Linked DNA regions of Caenorhabditis elegans. The protein of the gene in region 3 purifies or fractionates together with the protein of the main gene of each other region. This does not show direct contact. Each region holds a gene or a part of one and is shown on either strand. Other genes may lie near its edges.

What was found. The genes of interacting proteins can lie anywhere in the genome.
Region 1: the proteins of dsc-4 (region 3) and dpy-18 fractionate together in Caenorhabditis elegans (co-fractionation; one large-scale study listed by BioGRID). This does not show direct contact.
Region 2: the proteins of dsc-4 (region 3) and asp-6 fractionate together in Caenorhabditis elegans (co-fractionation; one large-scale study listed by BioGRID). This does not show direct contact.

The regions. Positions count from the first base shown.
Region 1 is NC_003281.10:11,371,442-11,380,533, forward strand, and holds dpy-18 (Prolyl 4-hydroxylase subunit alpha-1), read right to left. Parts: upstream 6,540-9,092; 5' UTR 6,539-6,539; coding exon 6,275-6,538; intron 4,697-6,274; coding exon 4,474-4,696; intron 4,429-4,473; coding exon 4,301-4,428; intron 3,614-4,300; coding exon 3,529-3,613; intron 3,465-3,528; coding exon 2,818-3,464; intron 2,085-2,817; coding exon 1,920-2,084; intron 1,772-1,919; coding exon 1,604-1,771; 3' UTR 1,445-1,603; downstream 1-1,444. Other genes in the region: tba-7 (Tubulin alpha chain), read right to left, coding at 118-334. UniProt on the Caenorhabditis elegans protein: Catalyzes the post-translational formation of 4-hydroxyproline in -Xaa-Pro-Gly- sequences in collagens and other proteins.
Region 2 is NC_003283.11:8,266,067-8,271,489, forward strand, and holds asp-6 (Aspartic protease 6), read right to left. Parts: upstream 2,872-5,423; 5' UTR 2,870-2,871; coding exon 2,562-2,869; intron 2,517-2,561; coding exon 2,387-2,516; intron 2,280-2,386; coding exon 1,548-2,279; 3' UTR 1,445-1,547; downstream 1-1,444. Other genes in the region: asp-12 (Peptidase A1 domain-containing protein), read left to right, coding at 4,579-4,892, 4,941-5,154, 5,207-5,423. UniProt on the Caenorhabditis elegans protein: Aspartic protease.
Region 3 is NC_003282.8:313,329-323,077, forward strand, and holds dsc-4 (Microsomal triglyceride transfer protein homolog), read right to left. Parts: upstream 7,217-9,749; 5' UTR 7,143-7,216; coding exon 7,097-7,142; intron 6,033-7,096; coding exon 5,776-6,032; intron 5,359-5,775; coding exon 5,012-5,358; intron 4,966-5,011; coding exon 4,861-4,965; intron 4,625-4,860; coding exon 4,465-4,624; intron 4,416-4,464; coding exon 4,249-4,415; intron 4,199-4,248; coding exon 3,907-4,198; intron 3,858-3,906; coding exon 3,663-3,857; intron 3,200-3,662; coding exon 2,756-3,199; intron 2,698-2,755; coding exon 2,351-2,697; intron 2,110-2,350; coding exon 1,791-2,109; 3' UTR 1,728-1,790; downstream 1-1,727. Other genes in the region: snai-1 (C2H2-type domain-containing protein), read right to left, coding at 85-197, 244-369; grl-26 (Ground-like domain-containing protein), read right to left, coding at 8,243-8,329, 8,879-8,971, 9,014-9,256. UniProt on the Caenorhabditis elegans protein: Catalyzes the transport of cholesteryl ester, and phospholipid between phospholipid surfaces. Does not catalyze transport of triglycerides. Required for the assembly and secretion of plasma lipoproteins that contain apolipoprotein B.

The sequences.
Region 1 (9,092 bases), on a different chromosome or scaffold from region 3:
AGAGTGGCAGGCAAACACACTGCCACTCGGCCACGCGTGCATCACCGCCGGCGCTCAGTAAGTGTATACTTGAAGAGTGGGGGTTACATGAATGAAGGGTAAAGAAAAATTGCATACCGACAACAGTTGGCTCCAAATCCACAAAAATCGAGCGTGGCACGTGTCTACCGTATCCAGTGTCCGAGAAAAAAGTGCCCAGAGAGCCGGAGTTCCCGTCGGGCTCCATCGATGTCCCATCTGGGAGAATTCCGTGCTCCAAGCAGTAAAGCTCCCAGCAAGCGTTTCCGATTTGAACTCCCGCCTGCCCCACGTGGATTGAGATTACTTCTCTCATAGTTCACTGTACTGTAAAAAACTAGATTAACTATAAGTTAAAAAAAAACTAAACGATCAACAGAAATTTCGCAATAGGAATTGCAAAATTTCAAAATTTCAAAATAAAATTTTTTTAAACCTTAACTTTTTGAAAGCACATATCTCGCTAATCCTTAAAGCTAGAAAAAAAAATTGCAACATACAATTTGTAGAAAAATTTCTTATCTACATTTCCCTAGTTGACAACTTTTTGATATCTCTCATTCCTACAAAGATACAAGCATTTGTAGCAAATAACCAGTGACGCTTATGTACTACAACTTTACACGGTTGCAACTTGCCAACCACAACAGTTACTAAAAAATTGTTAACTAACAAAATATAGCAAATGAAATTTTCTACAATTTATCAGTTGACAAAATTATTCTAGCATTCATGCAAAGATACAAGCTGCCAAAAAATCTAAGCCAAAATTTCAAAATTTTGCTTAAAACGAGTTGGAATTCAATTTTTTCGAAAACGAGAATGCCAAAAAAAGGAGTTTCATATAAAGATGTTTCATAATATTTAAGCACTGATAAGAAAAAGAGCAAACAAACATAATAAAACGTTTTTGGCGGTCTGTCAATGCGAAAAAGTGATGATGAGAAAATGATAAAACTACGGAAAAAGGTAAGCAGGAGAAGAAAAATTCGGAAGTTTTCGGAAAATCAATAATATCCAGTGTGTGTGCAGCCGACACCTTACGGGTTGCTATCTAGCAGCCGACACTTAACAGGTTGGCAGCGGACATCTCAAGGGTTTTTATTCAGCAGCGGACGCTTAATAGGTTGACAGCCGACACGTTACGGATTCCTATCTAGCAGCCGACACTAAACAGTTTTGTAGCCGATACGATACATGCTCTCACTCAGCAGCCGACGCTTAAAAGGTTGGCAGCCGACCTCTTACGGTTTTTTATTTTGCAGCCGACGCTATACGGGGTTTTACTCAGCAGCCGACACTTAATAGGTTTGCAGCCGACCTCTTACAGGTTTCTATTCTGCATACGACGCTTTACAGGCTTGCAGCCATCACTTCACAGGATCCACTAGGGAATTGTCGGCTGCTTTCAAATAACATAATTAAAAAGTAAAAAATAATTTATTCACGGCAAAGAAAAAGGCAGACAACTTCATCGAAGGCAACAAGAGAAAAAAGAGAAAACATGTAAGAAACCACCCGGTAGTGTGTGGGGATAAATTATGCGGCACAAAGAAAAAAAACAGAAAACAATGAAAACCAATGCTTAGAGGGTCTCCCAGACGTCTTTGGCAAGATTTGGGGACACGTTTGGAGCATTTCTTGGCTCTGGGCCGTATCCGAGGTCGCCGACGAATCTTTCGTAGTCTGAGGATTTCAAGCCGCATGGACGACGGAACTCGTTGCCCTTCTCGTGGATCCATTTGTTGGATACCTGGAAAAACAAGTTAAAATTCGAATTCCTCATGAAATTGTGGTCCTAGAGGTGTTTTTGTGGGTTACTGTAGCTGCGAAAGTACGCAAATACCGATATAAGAAGCGACCGACATTTCGCGGGCTCCCACCAGAAACAAAAAACTAACCCATTTGATTCCGACAAGAACGGGACAGGCGGCGTGACGGGTGTCTGGGTTTCCGTCTCCTTGTTTGTACAAGTTATACCAGAAGAGAGCATCATTCTTGGTGGGCAGAATTGTAGACTTGGCCTCAGTGAAGACGGTACCTCCTCCGTGAGATGGTTGGCTCATCTGAAACAATAATAGGTTGATTTTGAGTCGGCAGCCGACACTTTGCGGGTTGTTAGCTAGCAGCAGACACTTTGCGTTTTGTTAGCTAGCAGCCAACACTAAGCGGCTTGTTAGCTAGCATCAGACACTTTGTGGGTTTAGATAACAGCCGACACTTTGCGGGTTGTTAGCTAGCAGTCAACACTTCGCGGGTTCTGAGTGGCAACCAACAAGCTACAGGCTCCTAGATGCCGACACTGCGCGGGTCGTTAGCTAGCAGCTGACACTTTGCGGGTTGTTAGCTAGCAGCAGACACTTTGCGTTTTGTTAGCTAGCAGCCAACACTAAGCGGCTTGTTAGCTAGCATCAGACACTTTGTGGATTTAGATAACAGCCGACACTTTGCGGGTTGTTAGCTAGCAGTCAACACTTCGCGGGTTCTGAGTGGCAACCAACAAGCTACAGGCTCCTAGATGCCGACACTGCGCGGGTCGTTAGCTAGCAGCTGACACTTTGCGGGGTTAGTTAGCAGCCGGCAAAAATGGATCCCTCGCTGTCGCGTGCGCTAGTGCCGGACAAGTTCAGCGATCTACCTAGCAGCTGACACTTTGCCGGGACTATATGGTAGCCGACAAAATACTGGCATCTAATTAGCAGCCGACGTTTTGCGAGTTATAAGGCAACAGCTGACACTTTGCGGGCTGTTAGCTGGCAGCCGACACTTGACGGGTTTTTGCATTTTAATATAACTCACATAGAACAACACAGTGGCAATACGATTTCCAGTTCCCAAGCTCTCAAAACTCTTCGACTCCTCCTTCTTGGCATGATCGAAATGCGGGTCATAATGTCCTCCGATTCCATAATTCGCAATCTGCAGCTCCTCAGCGGTCTCCATCTCCAAATTTGTCATATATCCGATTCGCTTGTTAACGGTCTCCACAACATCACCCTCCCACTCCTTAAGCCACGCGCTTTTAGAGATACGGTAAGTCGCTGTGACAAGCTTTCCGGTCACCGAGTCGTGGACTGTGGCTCTTGCGAGTTTTGGCTTCGCGAGCTCCTGAATCGCGGCCACCTCATCGTCGGAGATCACGTCCTTGAAGAGCACGGCTAGTGGGTTGAATCTCTTAATTTCCACCTTAATCGGAGCGTAGACAAGGAACGGACGGTCCCGCTTGTAGTAGCAGTAGAGACGGGAGATGTCCTTCTGGGACACTGGAACCTCATTTCTGCACAGAGCCTCGTACATTGTTCGTTCAGTGTTTCCTAGGACAGAGTCGGGACGGCGGTTTTGGATTGGTGGGAGGTTCTTGCGCATGTCACTTCTACGGACGCCTTCTTGCTCGAGAAGGTCCTCGTACCATTTGACATTTCCTTTGGCGCGTGGGTGAGTTGGGTCTGGAAGATTTAGATTTTACAATAGCTGAGTAGCAGCCGACATCTCGCGGTCTCAAAAACTTACTCATTTTGTAGAGCTCCTCTGTAAGCTTTAGAGCGTGCTTCAAGTTGTTCTGCTTGTACAGTGCAAACGCCAGGTATTCGAGAATCTGGAAATTAAATTTTTTGGTGAAAAAAGTTGCATTTAAAATTTCGGCTACTTTCTCATAGCTTTTTGGCGATTTACGCTTGTTTCTCCGCCGCTATTAAAGATATCAAAAATATTTCAACTATTAAAGTATCTAAAACTTAATTTTTTTATAATTTGTTAGTTGAAAACTTTTTGATAAATTCAATACCCGCAGAGTTATCCGCCTTCGAAGTCTACAGCAGCCGACAGATTGCCCCGTAAAGCGTCGGCTGCCATAACTTGCTTCAAAGCAATTAAAAAAAGTTGTTTTACACTTTATTAGTTAACATCTCTCCCGCAGCTAAACTAGGATTAAAGTTATGTTGCAGCCGACATCTTCCGGTTTTGGATTGCTTCTGGACCCGCAAGGTGTCGGCTGCCATAACTTGCTTCGACGCAAGTTTAGCAAAAAGTTGTTAATTAACAAATTGTAGAAAATTTTATTTTACACATTTTAACAATTGACAACCTTTTGATAAAATCTTTCATTGCAGAGATATGCGTGCTTTATTTTAAAATTCAAATTTTTTTGCTAAAACTCTTTATAACTCCACTAAGAAACAAGCTATAAAAAAGTTATAAACTAAAAAATAATGTAAATTTAATTCTGCACAATTCACTAGTTGTAAATATTTTTCTATCTTCCTCTCCAGCCAAGATAACTCACATCTTCCACCTCCACAGTTGGCTCCACCTCGTCGCCGAGTCTTCTCTGCGCCTCCTCCATCCACATCACAGTGTGGTAGAAGTCGTGCTCATTGTAAGCAGCACGGGCAATTTCAAAACAGTCCTTTGCTAAAATTAAAGATAAACTTAAAGTTTGTATTACTTTAAGCTTACCGGAAAATGTGTAATTTCCCTGATCCGCGTAAATCTTTCCATCGGCAAGATCCTTGGTGTCGAGGCGGTAAGTGTCTTGAAGACGGAGGAGCCCAATAGCTGCTCCACTCAAGTCATCGGCTGTTGGGTACCGTACTCCATAACTGTCATCTGTGATTGAAGAGACCACGTTTCCAGCCTTATTTGCGTTCATTTTCGACTCGATCTCCTTCCAGTCAAAGATCTGAAGATTTGTGGGGTTATAGGCCATTTAGAAATTGAGATAGACAAAAGTTGTAAACTGTAAAGTTGTAGAAAATTTTCTGTAACTGGAGCGTTTGAGAAAAAAGTTATGACAGTTATAGCATCCGACATCTCACGGATTTTCAAAAAAAGTGCGGCCAGTGAGATGTCAGCTGCAATAACACAGAAACTGGAGGCTTTACCAATAGTTGGGAGCAGCCAAAATTTTGAAAAGATTTCAACTAAACTTACTATTACTTAGTCAACAACGTTCTCTAATAAAAATTAGAGAAAAATTAAGGCAGCCGATATGTTCGGGTTTTCAAAAAACGTGGCCTGGGAGATGTCGGCTGCTCTAACTTTTTTAACTTTGAACTGGTAAAACAGTTGTCAATTACCAACATTTTGTCAGTTGACAACTTTTTTCTAAAACGCATTTGAAAGAGTTATAGCAGCCGACGCCTTACGGGCTGAAAAAAACGGCCAGTGAGATGTCGGGTGCAATAACTGGAAAACTACGGGTCTGAGTGAAAAATTGTCAACTAACAAATTTAAGTAAATGAAATTTTCTATATTTTGTCAGTTGACAACTTTTTTCTAAAATGTATGGGAAAAAAGTTATAGCAGCCGGCATCTCACGGATTTCTAAAAAGTGCAGCCAGTAAGATGGCGGCTGTAATAACAGTAAAACTACGGGACTGAGTGAAAAATCGTCAACTAACAAAATTAAGTAAATGAAATTTCCTATACTTTGCTATCATAGTTGACTACTTTTTTCTAGCGTTAAAAACAAGTCATAGCAGCCGACGCCTTACGGGCTGAAAAAAAACGGCCAGTGAGATGTCGGGTGCAATAACTGGAAAACTACGGGTCTGAGTGAAAAATTGTCAACTAACAAATTTAAGTAAATGAAATTTTCTATATTTTGTCAGTTGACAACTTTTTTCTAAAATGTATGGGAAAAAAGTTATAGCAGCCGGCATCTCACGGATTTCTAAAAAGTGCAGCCAGTAAGATGGCGGCTGTAATAACAGTAAAACTACGGGACTGAGTGAAAAATCGTCAACTAACAAAATTAAGTAAATGAAATTTCCTATACTTTGCTATCATAGTTGACTACTTTTTTCTAGCGTTAAAAACAAGTCATAGCAGCCGACGCCTTACGGGCTGAAAAAAAACGGCCAGTGAGATGTCGGGTGCAATAACTGGAAAACTACGGGTCTGAGTGAAAAATTGTCAACTAACAAATTTAAGTAAATGAAATTTTCTATATTTTGTCAGTTGACAACTTTTTTCTAAAATGTATGGGAAAAAAGTTATAGCAGCCGGCATCTCACGGATTTCTAAAAAGTGCAGCCAGTAAGATGGCGGCTGTAATAACAGTAAAACTACGGGACTGAGTGAAAAATCGTCAACTAACAAAATTAAGTAAATGAAATTTCCTATACTTTGCTATCATAGTTGACTACTTTTTTCTAGCGTTAAAAACAAGTCATAGCAGCCGACGCCTTACGGGCTGAAAAAACGGCCAGTGAGATGTCGGCTGCAATAACTTAAAACCTATTGCAAACAAAATTACCTTTCTCTTGATCAATAAAAACGCATTGATCGGATTCGTAATATCCTTGAGCCCATTTTCAATCGAAATCTCATTTTTCTTCGAGTACTCCTCCGACAGCTTCTTCAGCTGAACCAGTCGCTCTTCCTCGTCGTGAATGTATTTGTCAAGGATTTTCGGAATATTTCTTTCAGTTTCCAGAAGGTTTTGCATGTCGGCAATCGAGGTGAACAGATCGGCAACTGCATAGCCGATTGTGGCTAGTACAAGGAGTGCCAGGCGCATTCTGAAAAATTGAGAGTTAGGGAATTAAAAACCTGCAAAACGGGAAGCGGATAAAGTTTACAATAAAGATTTGACACAAACGCCAGAGAAAATTATAGCGGCGGACATCTCATGGGTTCGAAAAAAAAAAATCAAAACTGAGCAAGACCCGCAAGATGTCGGCTGCCTAAAATAGCCAAAAGACAGTGCTTACCGGAAAAAAGGAAATTTTGATTTCTTAACTTTGTCAGTTTAAAAAAGTTGTGGCAGCCTACATCTTACAGATCCGGAAACCCCGGGGATCAAATCCCGCAAGGTGTCGGCTACCACACCAGTTTTCCTCAAGAAGCATATAGCGGCCGACATCTCACAGCTTCCAAAATTCTGACCCGCTAGATGTCGTCTGCTTTAACTTACTTCTTGAACTAGCTGCTAAAAAATTGTTAATTGACCAAATATAGGAAATTTCAGGTAGCTTAAATATTAAATTAACAATAACTTTTGTGATTTCAAAGTTCTGGCATAAAACACAAAGAAAGGAAAAAATTGCAAAAGAGGAAGTTGGTTCAGCTATATAAGGCTGGTTTCTCCACGTAGACTTACAACAATTAGATGCGAAAGAAATAAGAAAACGAGACGCAGAAATGAGTAAAACTGACGTTGACTTGATGATAGTGAAAGTGTGAGATATATAGGTTCTTTGGTGTTTAGGGTTAGAGAAATATAACTCAAGCCCATAAAATGTCGGCTGCTAAAAGTTAATTTTTGAATTCGCTTTTTTTCAATTTTTATCACGAAAAACGTTTTAGAAGCATCAACCGAAAAACATTTTTTTTTTGAATTCTGAACCGTTTCCAGTTTTTCAGTTAAAACCCGCAAGACGCAAAAAATTGTGAGTTACAACTTTTGAATGTCTAACTGAAAAACTTGTAGCAGCCGAAGTCTCACGGGGTTTTCGCTAGCTCTAAAACCTATTGAAGTGTCGGCTGCCATAATTTGTTTCGCATTACACATAGAAAAATGTCTTCAACTAACAAATTGTTGTAAATTTTATTTTCTACAATTTGCTATTTACCAATCTCTTGCTATCATTGCTGCAAAGGGAGTTACAGCAGCCGACAACTCGCGGGTATTTTCTGTAAAGTTAACCCAGTGAAGTGTCGGCTGCTATATTGTTTTTATAGAAAAAGCTTTCGACCTAAAAAAAATTTGCAATACTTCTAAAGTTTCATAAATCAAAATCCATGGAAAATCTAAAGAAACGACTGTGAACTAGATTCGTCGCGAAGGTCTTCGGAAATTCACGTATTCTATTGAATCGTAAGTATTTGCAGAGAGGAAGAGAGACGCAGGCGGGAAAAAAATAATTATATAGGTTCACAAAGTTTGAATAGGAAAAAGACAAAAGGTGTCAGGTTGGGAATAATTGGGTAGTTCCAACTGAATTTGAAATGTCAAGTACTGGGCTATTTTAGAATCGCCGGAATTTGTTTAAAAAATTGCCAAAAAAATAGGGAAAAATATTCAAGTTGGTGAACTTCCGAATTCCAAAAAAAAATCCGGCGCCAAAAAATTGGATGTTATGCATGTTTTTAACAGAAAAAAGCACAATAGCAAGTGGAGCCGGAATTGCGTGACTCAAAAAAAACATTTCATTTTCTCATTTTCCCTTTTTTGGAAAAAAAATGAAGTTGCCAAGTATACGAAAAATTATCGGATCACCTAAATAAATTTGCTGGAATCCCAAAAAAAATCGGCATTCCAAACGTAACAAATTGCCGGAATTTTGAAAATTGGAAATGTTCTGGTTGCCGAAAAAGCTAGCAGTTTTTTAATTTTTCGAAATTTGGAATAACCGAAAATGTGCCTAGTTTTTTTAATAGTTTTTCAACGTTCCAATATGGCCAATGTCTCAAAAAAAAAAAAGAAATTTGTAAAATTGCCCAAATCATCAAAAATTGTTGTCAAAATTGCCGAATATGATACATTTGGAAATTTTAAAATTTGCTGAAACTTAGGAGAGCCAAAAATTCGCTAAAGTGCAAATTTTTCAAAAAAAAGGTCGTTGCCAAAATTGTGAGTAATTAAAATATGAAAAACTAGGCAAACACAAAAATTGCCAAAATTGGAAAATATCAGAAAAATTTCAAAATTGCCAAAATTCTGTATAGCTGAAAAACTGGCAAAATTCATTTTTCCCCGAAACTTACTAGTTGCCAAAATTATATAATTATAAAACTGAAAAAATCGGCGAAAAAATTTCTAAGTTACCGAAATTATAAATTTTTGAAATTTGAAAAAATAAACTGAGCGATTTCAAAAATATTTAAACACCTATCAAAACTGTCGGAATGAAATTTTAAAAAATGTAGAAAATAGGAAAAATTGCCAAACTTGCATATTTACCAAAATGGCAAACACTTTTTAAATGAAGTTGCCAAACTGAAACTGGCTATTTTTTTGAATTTTCTAAAACTATAAAAAGCTGAAAATTTACTTAAATTCATATTTATTAGAAATCAAAAAAAATCCGCTTTAAAATTGAGAAATCACGGCAATTTCAGAACTATATCTA
Region 2 (5,423 bases), on a different chromosome or scaffold from region 3:
CTCCAAGGATATAGTACTGTAACATTTTAGAGTGGAAATTAATTTTACATGTTTATTTGGTTTTTGAATGGGAAGAGTTAGTTTTACAACCGGCTTCAAAAAAGTTGAAGTTATAACGAGCGACTCCATTACTGTTAATATGAAATAAAATTTCAGTCGAAACAAAAAATATTCATAGTTATAAATTAAGGTGAAGATAAGATGAGATCTTATCAGGTTTTTATCTGATAAAAACTTACGGTAGCGCCAGCCTGCTTTGCAATTTCATTAATAACTACACTGGGACCACCCAAGAAAGAAGTTCCAGTATCCGAAATCACGTCAACAACTTTTGCATTCAAATATTTTCCCAGTCGGAATCGATTTGCCTTGAACTGAAAATAAGTGGCAGATGACAATGGCTGATATCCAATCACTGGTTCACAATTAGTAGTGTCTACTGCTCCATATGTGAACACTCCTCCTCCAACATTTGTCAATGTTCCTCTATGTTCCAAGAATACACTGAACAATGGTTGATCAAGAATTCCTTGTTTAATAGCATTGATAAGTGGTGGAACTACGCCATCAACAGCCAATGTAGTGAATGCAAGACCGAATATTCCATCGGTGGCGTCGTTTTTTAAATCTGCTGAAACTTGGTTTGCAATTCCGAATGTCGTTTTTGGGATTGCTAACTGATTTTCTCCGGTCGCTCCAATCTACAAAATTTTAATTGAAAGTAAGAATAATTGTTTAAAAATTATACCTTCACAATATCTTGTCAAATTTGTGTTTCGACTCACAATTTGCTCTAAAAGTTAAGTGTAAAAGTTCACTTTTAAATTTCATTCTTACTTGCATGATGTCCCTGGAATCCAAAGATTCGCGGAACCTGTGTCAAGGACAACAATAAAGCTCTGATCAGGAGTTCCAATAGTGATGTTTCCAAGATATTCAAAATCGGCAAAGTCATTGACCTAAATTAGTGTATGTGTTTATGAGAAAAATATCAAATAAAAGTTATTTTTGAAAGTTGGCTAGTTTCTATTTAAAAATTGTGAAACTTGCATAGAACAGGTTATCAGTACAAGTTTTAGATTATTTTAAAATTTGGATACGTTAAAAAAAACTTACATTCTGTGGCAAACTCTGTAGCTGCCAAGGATTACGGTTTCTTTGTCTCTCGAGATGTTTCTTATATGTTGCCCATTCTCCACTTCTCAGCATCTCGATCCTTTTTGATGGTTTCCATAATATTTTACTTTGATGTACTAATCCAGAAACAAAAACAAATAAACTTATAATTAAAATTATTGATCGCATTTTTCAAAAAGTGATCAATTTCCCCCTTTTCAATTCTGGTTTTAAGCTTTTTTTCATTTTCTTGCATCATCAAACGGCGGACTCGTTAATTTCGCTGATAACACAAGTAAACTGATAAGAGGAATGAAACATCGTGATTAAAATTCAATGCAATTCATTTCTGCAGAAAAATTGTTTAAATATTAGTTGTTTCAATTGTTTTATTATTGAAAAAGTATAAGTACATAAATAGTAATATATATTTACTTTTGGAGAGATGGAGCGAATCCCATTCTCTTGTTTCCAATATCGTAAATGTTGCAGTATTGACGAATGAATGGATCTCCAAGAATCCATGATGGTCCGAATCCTCCGAAATCGAATGGGAAGGCAGCGAAAAGGCATTGACCGTTTCCGGCATCAACGATGTAGTTGACTGGCTGGATGGAATAAGTGTTGGTTCCAATGGTAATATCAAGAGTTCCTGGCTGGGCAGCGCAGTCGATGAAGTAGACCTCGTTAAAGTCATCATAAGTGGCTCCAGCGGCCTTGGCGAGTCCGTCAACAACAGATTGTGGTCCTCCGAGGAAGGAAGTTCCGGTGTCAGAGATAACATCAACGGTCTTGGTGTTTGAGTATGATCCGAGTTTGAATCCGGCAGCCTTGAATTGATAGTAGGTGGCAGAGGAAAGTGGTTGGTAGGCAACAAGGGCTCCGCAGTTGGTGGTGTCAATGGCTCCGTAGGTGAAGACTCCTCCTCCAACATTGTTGGCGGCTCCTCTGTGCTCAAGCCAGACTGAGAAGAGTGGCTGGTCAAGGATTCCTTGGTTGATGGCGTTGATGAGTGGTGGGACAACTCCGTCGACGGCAAGGGAGGTGAAAGCAAGTCCGAGAATTCCGTCGGTGGCGTCATTCTTGAAGTCAGCGGAAATCTTGCTGGCAATTCCGAAGGTGGTGGTTGGAACAGACAATTGGGAGTCTCCCTTAGCTCCGAACTGAAAATCAATTTGATAAGGACTGATTTTTTGTAAAATTCACTTTGCCAGCTAATTTATATCAAGATTACACAACGCACACATTAATGCATTGAAGATAAACTTACTCTAACGGTATCTTGTCCGAGGATTCCGGCGGCATCTCCTGATCCGTATTGGATGGTCCAGGACTTTCCGTTCTTAACGAAGGTGCTGGAGGCAGTGGAATCGAACTTGCTCTTGGTCTTGCAGTTGGTCCTTCAAATAATCTTTTTAAATATTTCAGAACTGAAATCTACTCACTTGCAGGTTGGTCCTGGAATCCAGAGGTTAGAGGATCCGGTATCCAAAACAACGATGAATCCTTGATCTGGGGTTCCGATGGTGATGTTTCCGAGGTACTCGAAATCTCCAAAGTCATTGACATTTTGTGGGAGATTAGCAAGAACATTTGGGGACACAGCTCTGAGATTTCTCTGGTATTCAAGGTAAGCTGGATATTGTCCAGTACGGATCATTCCCATCTTCTTGGATTCCCTCCATACGATCTTGTGTTGATGGACTGAAGCCGATGCAAGGCCAAGAACGGCCAGAAGGATGAAGGTCTTCATACCTGAAAATAAATATTTCAGAAAAATATTCTAAATGGAAATGAAATTGAAAGTGTAGATAAACGAGTGAAATAATTTTCAATTTCAAGAGCAAAAATTGAAGTAGAAAATGTCAGATAGTGCTATGTTTTATACTTGTTGAGAAAACTCATGGGCGCACTGACGTAAGTTTAATTGGTTGATAAGAACCGCCTTCTTATTTGGTTTGTACCCGATCGGTGCGATTCTTATCACTAAAAAATGAAGTTTAGTGAAGAGAGTAGTGCCGATGATTCCGGCTTCTGGAAGTAACGACTGAAAACTGACGAAACAGCTTTTATGAGCTAATAAAACTCGAGTATTAACTGAATCAAAAGTGCGTAAAGTTCCGTGAACGGTACCCGGAGATGGATGACATTTGAGTCAAGTGCTGATAGGTCAATACCAGGTACACACGTAGGTTTACTGGCTAAATCCGGAGTAATACGTGATGAATTACGTAAGCGATAGGAAAGTATACAGTTTGAGCATGGCTAAAACTTGAACAGACAGAGTCCAAAGGATGATATAATGAATGACGAGAGCCTTATTTAAGGCATCACTGTAAGATTTTCCAACAATTCAATTTGCTCTGTATTATAGTTTTCAACATTATACAGTTTTTGAATTGAATAAACTTTTTGAGTTGGAAGGTTCTTAACGGCACTTTCTATCTCATCTTACTTCACAGTTAGTAAAATAGTTACAATAGTGCCCATTATTTGAATTTTATTTGAAAATTATGTCCATTTCCAATTGTTCCACAGCATTTTTTTTTGCAAAACTCCATATTTATATGTAGATAAACTTTTTGCCAGAAAACTTGCCAGGGAATAGTTAAGGATGAATTTTCAGCCTATCTTCCTAAAGACCCCAAATATAAAATTTTTGGTGGATTGCAGAGAAAGCTAGGCATGGTTTCAAGTTTTACAGTTCACCCTTTTGAATTGGAAATCCAATTAATACTGTACGCTTGTTTTGCAAGTGTACCCAAATGACATCACTATTTTCTGCAGTTTTTTTTCCGGCTCTGTATTATTTTGGCAGTCAACATGATAGCTTTATTGACATTTCTTTAAATCAAACGTTTTCCTCAATCATTTCCGCTGTTTTACTTCTCAACCTGTGACAGTACAAACATCTTGATCATCACGTGCCCAATAGCCAGGCATGTTGACTATGAGCCGGAACTTTTCTAGATAAGCTTCTTACGAATCTAGATACGTATTCTGATTTATTATCAATAATTTATCGCATCAGATCAAGAAAGTGAGAGTTCTTGCGTCAGATTGAAAGAATAATGGCCAAAGTTTCCAAACTTTGCACGGACATTCTAGTTTGCAAAGTTATGAGCTGAAGAACGAAAAATATTAGGTTTCTATGGTATTTAATCTTAAACGCATAAATTTTAGGAAGAAAGAACCATTTTAGTTCTTGAATACTTGTATTACACTTTCAAATACCCATATTTCAAGCATAATAGGACTACTGAACTTTTTATCGTACCGGGCATTCACACAGTCTCGCACAAAAGTCAACCTAAATGATATTGTATTTCAAACAGTTGTTCGTTGAAAAACTAGTAGAATCAAGAAACAAACATGATTTCAACCAAAATTAATGAAACCTCTTTTATTTCAAAACACAACACGCACTGAAAACATCGAAATATTCAATAAATCTTTTCAGAAATGAAGACAACTCTTCTCGCTTTTGTAGCCATTCTTGGCATGTGCTCGGCAACTGTGGTTCAGCATAAATTGATCTATCGGGAATCGCCAAAGATGCAAATGATGAGGCGAGGAGAATGGGGAGCATACGTTCAACACAAGGCTGCCCTACGTGACGCCAATCCAGCTGTGTTCGCCAGTGCTCCACAAAATGTCAATGATTTTGGAGATGTTGAATACCTAGGAAATATCACGATTGGAACTCCTCCACAACAGTTTATTGTCGTCTTGGATACTGGTTCTGCGAATCTCTGGGTTCCAGGAAGTAACTGCGAGTCAGTAGCCACCTTACACAATGGTTTTTAAATTTTTATCATTTTCAGTGGAACATGCAAAGGAAAGAGCGAGTTTGACTCATCTAAATCTACAACATTCAAGAAAAACGGACAATCATGGCAAATTCAATACGAATCTGGAAGCGCTAAGGGAATCATGGGAGTAGATACTGTTGCTTTTGGTGGTGCTTCAGAACAACAACTTCTTGTCCCATCTACCACTTTCGGTATTGCCTCTCACATTTCGTCTAACTTTAAGAATGTAAGATCTATTTCCCAGATTATTTGATTCTTCATCGGAACGAAACTTTCAGGACGCTGCTGAAGGAATTCTCGGGCTTGCCTTCACATCTCTTGCAGTCGACGGAGTTACCCCACCACTGATCAACGCCATCAACAAGAAAATTCTCGATCAACCTCTGTTCACAGTCTTTTTAGAACATAAGGGAACGGCAAAGAATGTTGGAGGAGGTGTCTTCACCTACGGAGCCGTTGACACTACCAACTGCGGACCAGTGATTGCCTATCAAC
Region 3 (9,749 bases):
TATAAATATATATCTGATTGTGGCACCTGTCTGCCGTCACGGAAACGGGGGGCACCTGACTATTGAGAGGTTTTCGTAACTAACCTATACACCTTTTTACAATGTGGACAGCTCTGCTGTAATTTGCCTTCTTTGTGAAATTGCAGATGTCTTCGAAGACCAAAATAGGTTAGATATGTTTTTTTGCAGAATTGACACTATAAATGGGATTTTTAGACTTTTTCTCAATATAACCGCACTTACCACCAATTTCTGATTATCCAACGATGAGCAACTGGCAGATGAAGAAGATGATGAGGGTGCCGGGTCAGGGGAAATGAGGTCTTCTATGGTTTCAAAGATGCTTTTCCTTTTTGTATTGATACTCATTTTTGGCTAGGATTTTTTCTGGAATTACATAACTGAGGAATTTTATAAATAAGTTTGTAGGCGACGATAAGAGCACTAAAAAAATGGATAACCCAGATGAGTTTACGGTTAAGCATCGCTAGAATTTTCTTTTTTCGATAGTAGCATTCTTTACGTCCAAAATTGTAACAGAGAGCCACGTTAATATTTGTTGTAGTAGTTGTGAAACGATAGTCTTAAGGAATATTAATAAATTCAAAAAAAGGGAATGTTAATAACTTCAAAACATTCAAGCTCAAACTCAATTTGCAGGTACTCCTTCATTTTTAGAATACTAATGAAATGTACAAAACAGTCTTAAGTAGGGCAACAGCAATATAATGAACTACTTACAGAATTTTGACATTTTGCAAATTGCGACCCAATTTGCAAAATGTCTTGGCAAAACATGGCTGAAATTTGGTGTTCACTTGTTTCAGCTATATCGTGAATCTTAATTGGTCTGTAGTGAACCTACGGAGCATTGTGGTTCTTATGAAAAATTTAAAATTAAATTAAAATAGAGAAGCAAACAGTATCTGTGAATAAAAAACAAATAGTAAAAATCACATTTTATTGACCCTACAACTATTGTCTGAAACCAATGTTTTGAAGCCATCGTTCAAAAGAAGTTTCAGTACTTCTCTGGCTTTCAGTGAAATCCAATTGAAGCTCACTTTTGGGTCAGAAATTATTAATCCGTTTTTACTTAAGGGTGTGTGAATTACCTACTAAGTCATCTCTACAATAACTATTTCAAATTCATATTGAAAAGGTAAAACCAGCTGAAAAACCTCTCTATCGGCTTTGGTATAAAAACGGATTTAACATCAACAATTAACTGATTGGCTGATACGACAAAAAGTGGGAGGGGATTCATCTTTTGCTTTATCTGCCTCTTGTGACTCCTCATCGTTGTGTTGTATCCGGACTTCTACCTTTCCCCCATTATCACACCTGTTGGTTTGATTTCGGCCGACAGGTGCCCCCTTGCCAAGGAGGCTCGTTGGTGTTGATATGAGAGATGTTGCACGGGCGGGAAGTCAGAAGTTATGGGAGCCAAGGGACCGAGAGGGGTGTTAGGAACTATTTCTAATACATTTAAAACTTTTCCATTTTTTTTCAAAATGCATTGAAATTCGAAACATCTGAAGTGTTAATAACAGTTTTCAAACATATTTTTCTAAAAAGGATCACAAATTATATGAGAAGATATGCCAAATTATCAAGCTTTTAAGGGTAAAAGCGCACTCGTTATCTGCAAGTTGATCTCGAAGATCTCAATTTTCGATTTGCAAGTATATTTATCAGATTCGGTGGTTCAGCTTGATACTATTTCTCAATAAGTTATTTTTTATTTGATTCCAGAACAAACATGAAATGTTAATAAAAAAAACAAACAACTACAATCTAAACTGCTCCAAATAACTATTACACTGCCGAATCGTCGAGTCATCCAACCTGTATGTAACTCCAGGATGTACTCGTTTTCGATTAAGCGTCTTCTTTTTATGCTTTCCAATTTGATCCTGTACAACTGTTTTCTGATTGATATCAACATTGCTATTAGATGTTCTTAGGCAGAAGTCATATGGGAGAGTCTCGAAAATTGCACGGGTGTCTGTGGTGAAGGTGGAGAGCGCCGAGATTGTGGATTCCACGTGGCGGACTGGTTCTGAGTGATGGTAGAGGGAAGCCGTTAGGTGTAAGGATCCGGATGTACTGAAATGTTTAATTATTTTTAAGAATGTTTATAACAGGCGTAACTATACAAAGCTAGAAACTATACATCAACCTAATTGTAAGTTGAAATTACCTAAGACTTATTTTTTTGCCTGAGCCCCTTCGCTGAGGCTCTTTAATGTGGGCCCTTAGACCTAGACCCGTAGGCTAAAACTGTTGGGCCTAGGGATCGTCTAATTCCTACGATCAATAAAAATAAGAGGATCTTTCAAGAACTCACTATGCCTCTGCCTTTGCATTCGATCTCTGATTCCAAAGGGAAACTTCCGCCGATGCAAGAACTCTCATACTAATTGCTCCAACGCTATCAACGTCAAGAGTCAATCCAGAGAGCAATGGCACCGATAGTCGAACGTCTCTAACAGGAACATGACCTTCAAATGCCTTATGCGTCCTTCCATCTGCTTCCCAGACAGTGGAAAGCAGGTCAGTACTTCCCTTGAAGATGTGGTGAGTTGGTAGCTTGTGACCAGCAACTCCAATTCGAACAGACCCTTGTGGAGCGCCGGATCTTGAAGAAGCTGATCCAGTCACAAATTGCTCAAGGTGCTCAGTGTCGATGGAGAGCTAAAATTTGTATTCAATAAATTATCCTATAAAATAACAAAACTTAAAATTCCCTCACCGAGAATAAATTGTGCTCCTTCCTTCCCTTCTTCATCGATAGCTCAAAGATGGATCTCTTAAAGGATTTTTGCAAGAATTCTGTGTTCGCAGTGGAGAACAGTTGGAAGTTTGAAGCATCTGCAATCTCTTGCCAGTGAACATGAGAATCCGCCTGAAGTGCTCTGTGCAAGAAGTTTGGTCGGAAAACCTTAAACTTCCGCATTCGCGACCAAAATTCGGCCTTCAGTTCATCCTTGTTTCCGCTTGCCTCGATAGCCTTGTACAGGTAATGCCATTTTTCCTGATCATCGGGGTTAAGAGTCTCAGTTCGCAGGATCAAGGTGGCCACGTTTTGATGATCAGGGACACATTTGAGGAGAATGTCGATGGCGAGTTGAGAATGAGAAGTTGGAGTTTCCTGGCTGCATGTGTTGCGGAAGAGTTTGATGAGCTTGTGGGTGAGCTGTAAAATTAGATATTCAAAAGATGAGTTTTACAAGTTGAACCAATGTAGAAGCCGGCAGGATTCTAATGTACAAAAATAGCATTGAACATTTTTAATAACAATTTCAGACGGCCCGATGCCACGTGAACCTAAAAAAGTTAAGGGAGGGGTTGTAAAACGTTCAAATACTTTATTGACCCATATCTAAATGTGAAGAGAACTTTATATCAACACAATTAATATAAGAAATAAATATACATGTACGGACTTTATTTGTCAAGTTTATAGTTTACTATGTCTTCAATATTAAATACATAGAGTGCACTGCACACTGCGTTTGGCAGCAAGCTATTTTGTATCTTCAAAAATGTACAGGAGCGCCAATTTTTTTTTTGGTTTGGCATATACTGATGTGCCGAAAAAAAAATTCGGCATGTGCCGAAGTGCCGCGCATCTCTTGTTCATACTTCAATCCACTTACTTGTGTTTCATACAAATTCTTGCTCGCAGCCAGAATAACGTTGAGTGCGGCTTTCTGAACATCCTCCGACTCAGTTTCACATATGAATTTCTTAGCAAAAGTGTAGGATCCGAAAATTGGAATATTCTCCAGAACCTCGAGAACTCTGACTTCAACTCCACCAGCTGTCAGGTCAGTGATGAATTTGTTGACAATCTGAATATCAACAATAACGCATAGAATTCAGTGAAAGTAAGGATCTTACCGTTTCCTTTCCTTTATTGCAAGAGTTTAAGCTGCTTGTCGATGCTTCACATCGTTTGTTCAGCACAGTTGCAATTGTGTTAGCCACCTTCCAATATTCTTCTGATTTTTTATCAAGGGACCCGAGCCAGTACATCAATTGTTTGTGCCATTTCTCATTGTTAGACGAGCTTTGTGAAATTCCAAAAAGTAAATCATCAAGATAATCAGGGGACGCGGTAAGAAGAACTTCACGAGCAGTGGTGATAGATTCTGCTGTACCGACTCCTCCGAGGGCACTGGCGATAAGAGATCTGGAAAAAATGTTTAGCTGGTTTGGGAATGTATGTGATGATGTACTTACAGAACATGATCATTCTCTGGGTATTGGATAGCAGCTTCCCAGTCCTGTCGCTTAGCCAATCGGGCTTCTTGAGCAATTTGACTATAAAGCAAAGAATGTTTCTCACAAATGTGTGAGTCACCCATATCTTGAAGATGACGGCGGTATGTTCCAATAAGCTTTGTTAACTGAATAATGCCTTTAGCGTTTGAATTACATTACATTCAGAAAAATAACCTTATTCGACTGTTCCTGCGCAATCTTGACATGCTCGTAAAGTTTTCCTCCGACACGAACTGCTCCAAACGCCTGCTCGGCGCATTTGGCGGATGGTACGGTATCATTACAGTAGCTGGTGACGAAGACACGTGTACGGTTGGTGATTTCTACGTGAGTTCTAGAATAAGTACAATGTTAAGGATGGGGTTATTGAGCCGAATCTCTGCCAGTTTTTCGGAAAAAATATCACTGAAAACTTAATACTGTATTACTCAAGTCAGAACTCTTGAAGGTGCAGCGAATAAAAACATCACAGGTCCATACTCCAGATTAATGTTTTCTTTGGTTTTTGACTCCTTTAGAAACAATGGAAAAACATTTTTGTATGTTTGCAAATTTTAAGAACCTACTCACCTGGATTCCAGAGTGAATCCGTATTTCTCGTGAAGTGGACTCTTGAATGCTAACATCTCAATAGCATCAACCATAATAATGTCTGCATCGACTTTTGTGTTCTGTCTGAAACTCTATTCTTTTCCTAAAACTGTATCATGTTTTAACTTACGTGTACCAGACATCCTGATCATATTGAACACTCTCGATTCCTTCGAATTTCGTAAAATTTGTGCCGTAACCCAAATCACACTTCTCGATAATTCTTCTAAACCGTTTATCCTCTGGCCTTCCAAAGTTCACGAAGCATCTTCCGTAAATTGTGTCGACTGTTTGCTCGTCTCCTTCTCCGTACTCTGCTGGCGTGTAGATTGTATTCACAATTGCGTACAGGAAATTCCAGGTGGCGTCACTCTCATCGGACGCTTTAAGGATATGCTCCGCATTATTACCACCTTGACGGAATGCTATGTAGATTGGAGATGGATTACCACAGTTGTCAGTGTTGCATTGGGTTAGCTGAAAACGCAAATTATGAGTTCGTAGACATTTTTGCTCGTAGAATATGATGCTCTTGCTTCAATTTTCAAGTACTACTAGATAATGGTAGAATTTTTGGGATTACTGTAGGTCAGTTTATACGCAAAGTTAGATGTAAAATATTTTGAGACAAAAAATGGCAAAACTCACAGTTTTGGGAAAATTCTGATTTTTTTCGCATTTCTGCACAATGTCTGGACAATGCAAAAACGTTTTCAGCAAATTGCAAAAAAAAATTATGGAAACTTGATTGAAAAATTCAAAAAAAAATCATTCAGTGAGCCTTGCCTCACGACAAATTGCGCAGTTTGTGGAGGAAGTCGGTTTAATGCTCATATTTTAAAATTTTTGATTTGTTTGATACTGAAGATTATTTTCGAAGAAAAAAGATTTTACCGTAAACCGTCCCAACATGCCACCCTCCACGTCATGATGAAGTGTTTCAAAGCTGAAATTTCCAGCAATAACGGTCGATGGATCCTTCTCCTTATTATCAATATCATCGTAAATCATAGATTCAGTACGGAACCAGTAATCCACTTTCAGTAGTCGGACAGTGTTCTCGTTCATTTTCGGCTGATTTTTATAGTAGTCTGGACCATGTTTGCGAAGGTTCTTCTTGATTTCATCGAGATCCGGAACTGCTAGGCAAACTGAAAAGGAAACAATTTTCAAGCTAGAATTTTAAAACTCGAAAAATTTAATTTTTTTTAATGTTCGCATTAGTCACAATTAAAAAATGTTTAAAATTAAAAGTCAAAAGTTTTGTCAGTTGACCACATTTTGAACAACGGCTATGAACATAAACGCAAAGTATCTCAGCAACCAGTAGATATGCAAGAAAGTGATAAACTAATAAAGTGTAGTTCTTAATGTGTATATTAGTATTGCAATGTTTTTTTTCTACTCTTTAAGTTTCTCGAGTAAGCGCCGGTCAAAGTTTAAAAAATAACTTTTCCAAGCATTTATTTAGATTATGAACAAAGTGCATGCGACAAACACCTGAACTTTGAAAAACTCGAAAAATTTGATAAATAAAACATTTCTTCAGTCAGCGTGAAATTTTTAAATGGAAAATATTTTTAAGGGGCTCGATATGGCTGATATTGATAAGATAATATATTGGCTGTTAGATAAAGTGTTTGAAAGTAAAATCAGTTTTAATATTTTAATCAGCATAATTGTGTGCCATCAAGAAAAATAGGAGACGATGTGTAGTCGTAAACACCTGTGCGGATCGAGTTGTATAAACAACCTCACTCTGGGGAAGAAATATTTGAATTTTGCAATACGGTTATTATTATTTTACAATCATTTCAATCAGAAATAGACAATGTTAAAAAGCGAAAGTTGTATTTGAAAATGGTCCACAGCGTAATTGATAAGTATTTCACATATATCAGTATTTGCCAAGTTATGGCGGCTCAAAAAATGACCTAAAATTATTTAAAACTTGAAATTTGACTAACTTGTCAATGTCGGAGCCGTTGGAAACTTTTTTTGTTGAAATTGCCGTCTAATTTTGGTTATACCCGTTAAATATCTTGCGTTTTCTGACAAGTCAAATTTAAAATTTTAACTAATCCCAGGTCATTCTTTGAGCCACATAACCTTTTTTTTGAGAAGTTTTCGAGAAAATTCATTATGAAATTCGGTGTTTTCAGACAATTCGACTACACCACCTTCAAGCAGTTTTTGTTTCAAAAAAATTCCCTACCTCCCACAGTAACGGCCAGAAGCAGCCATATCCGTGATGAGAACATCTCTGGTTTCCAAATTTCTCCCAGAGAGAGCAAAATTAAAATAATTTTATTGGCAATGGAGTCCTGTTTGGATGGAAGAGAAGAATTGTGAATGATGCAGAGAAGCAGTACTATTGATAAGAGTTATGATTTTATGCTTGCTGATAACACTAAAAATAAGGGTGATTCTATAATAGGTACACGTTTCATTAGTAAACTGAAAATATACACTAAAACCGATAAATCCGGGAAATTGTTTCGGTTGAAATTGGATATGAAAATTGGTCATGACAAAGGTTTCACTTTCCTAATCTACGCGGCAACGTTTTTTTGCGGTTCGTTCAATCCTACTTATTATTAGCAAACATCTAAAACTTTGAATTAATTTTCCTTTTTTCGAATCCGGCATAACTGTACAGTGTACACCAATAGGGCCCTAAGTCTATGCCCTTTTCGACCAAAATAAAGGCACATCATTTGAGAAGACAAACCACGATTTGTAACCTGACTAGGCAAATAACGGCTCCTCCGATCCTTCATTGTTAATCATTTTCTCTATATATTGATTACAATAGGAAAAAAATGTAATTATTCTCACCTGATTTTATCGGCTGTGCGGCTGTCCGCTGGTACAGCCGGTCGAGCGCGTCGGAAGTGAAAAAACCCCTGTTGAACGACGTAGTTTCCGTATTAGTGGAATACGGCTTGGTGGCAAAATTGGTCAATTTTATGTAAATGTACAAATCCATTTAAAATTGGAAAAATACAATTTTTAGTGTTCGGAGTTCAATTTTGAGTCCTCTATCTACAAAATTGCCCATTTTAGAGGTTTTACAGACAGTTGAATTGTTCTGAAAACTCAAAAATTTAATTTTCAGGCAACTACTTCCGAAAATAATTCTGCAAAACATCACGAACAAGTTGTGGATTCAGAAACTGCAGAAGAAGATGAATATATCAACGTAGTTGATGTGGATACGATGCCACCATTGCTGGAAAAATCACAATTGGCTTAAATTCTTAGTCGATTTATTACCGTTTTGCGATGTTAAAGAGCTTGTTATTTATTTCTATCATGAAAATTTATTGGATAATTAAAAACAAAATAGCCTTTCGTAAAGTTATATCGCAAATGCCTGACAATAATGAGAACCATTCCGTGCTCCGCAGTATGCTGAATCATGTTTGATGGAATAGTGGAAGGGATTCTACAAAAAAGGAAAAATTTCGATTATATATTTCCATCAATAAACTCAAAATGACCACAAACGACTTATGGCTGTTTAAAATCCTTTAAAAATGGACTTTTTTTGTTCAAATAGGAAAGTTTGCTAATTTGCTCTTGTGGCAGCGGTGTAGTTAACCTTTTTGGTACTTATGTAATTCCCCCTCATTTTAAAAGTAATTTTTGTAAGTTATAAAAAATAAAAACGTGTCGTATACTTTTGTATATTTAGGCATGCAATTTAATTTTAAAATGAGAAGGCATACCCACAGGTATCATTTTTATATTTTTTGAGTCATTTATTACTCATTTTAGGTTGATTTTAGGTTGAATAGGCACCCAAATTTACATTTAGGTGCCCATAAACTGAGAATCTACCAAAGGAATAAACGACTCAAATATACAAACAAAAGTTGTTTTTTCCTAATCCCTGCCACGTGAACAAGTTGACATAATTTCAAATTTTTGCAAAAATGGAATCCGGTCGTTTGGGGTCTTTTTGAACTTTATTTCATCTTCGAATGATTTCTACCTCTGAGCAGACAACAACATATCGATGAGAATCATGATCTTCTAGAGCTGATTGAAGCGATTTACTGGATGCTTGTGGATTGGATTTCATATGCTGAAAATGTATATTTTTTGGGATTATGTTGTACCCACAAACCGCCTGGATCATTGCCTTCATCTCTGGACTATTGCACAATAAATCCTCGTTTTTACTGGCAATTCCTCGAAATTCGAACTCCCGCCGCTCATCCTCATCGATACTTCGCTTTTTTCTTCCACACGCACTCTGGCAACAACATCCACCACCACCTCCACCTCCGAATAGGCCAGCACAACCGTGACAGAGATCAAAAAACAAAATAGCGAAGATTAACACAATTTTTGCGGAGTTTGAGAACATTTTTTGAGAATCTGAACATAAAATCCTTTTTATTTTTCAAAAAAGTTCTCCCCGGCCGGGAATTGAACCCGGGTCTCGCATGTGACAGACGCGGATACTCACCACTATACTACCGAGGACACGGGAACTTTTGTTTGGCCAGGCGTACACGAAAGAGAATGAAGCTACGTCTTTGAACGGTTAGAACTGCTTCACAGTGAGGAGACAAGTGAGAGCGCTCTCATTTATATATTGGTTCTGATTGAATCTGCGTCTATATTGTATGGGGCTGGAACTAAACAAACTAATAATACAAGTTATTAACCTCTTTATTATCCGTGTCAAACCTCAAATACTCAAAACCCATATAATAAGTAGTAAAAGAGAAGAGACGCAGAGAAAACGAAGGAGAAAGGCATCTATTGGGCGCCTTCCAGGTTAATTGAGTGACTATGACCTAAAAAAAGATATAATTTTCTAACGCTTAATTATTGCTTTAAAGGTTTTCAAGTTT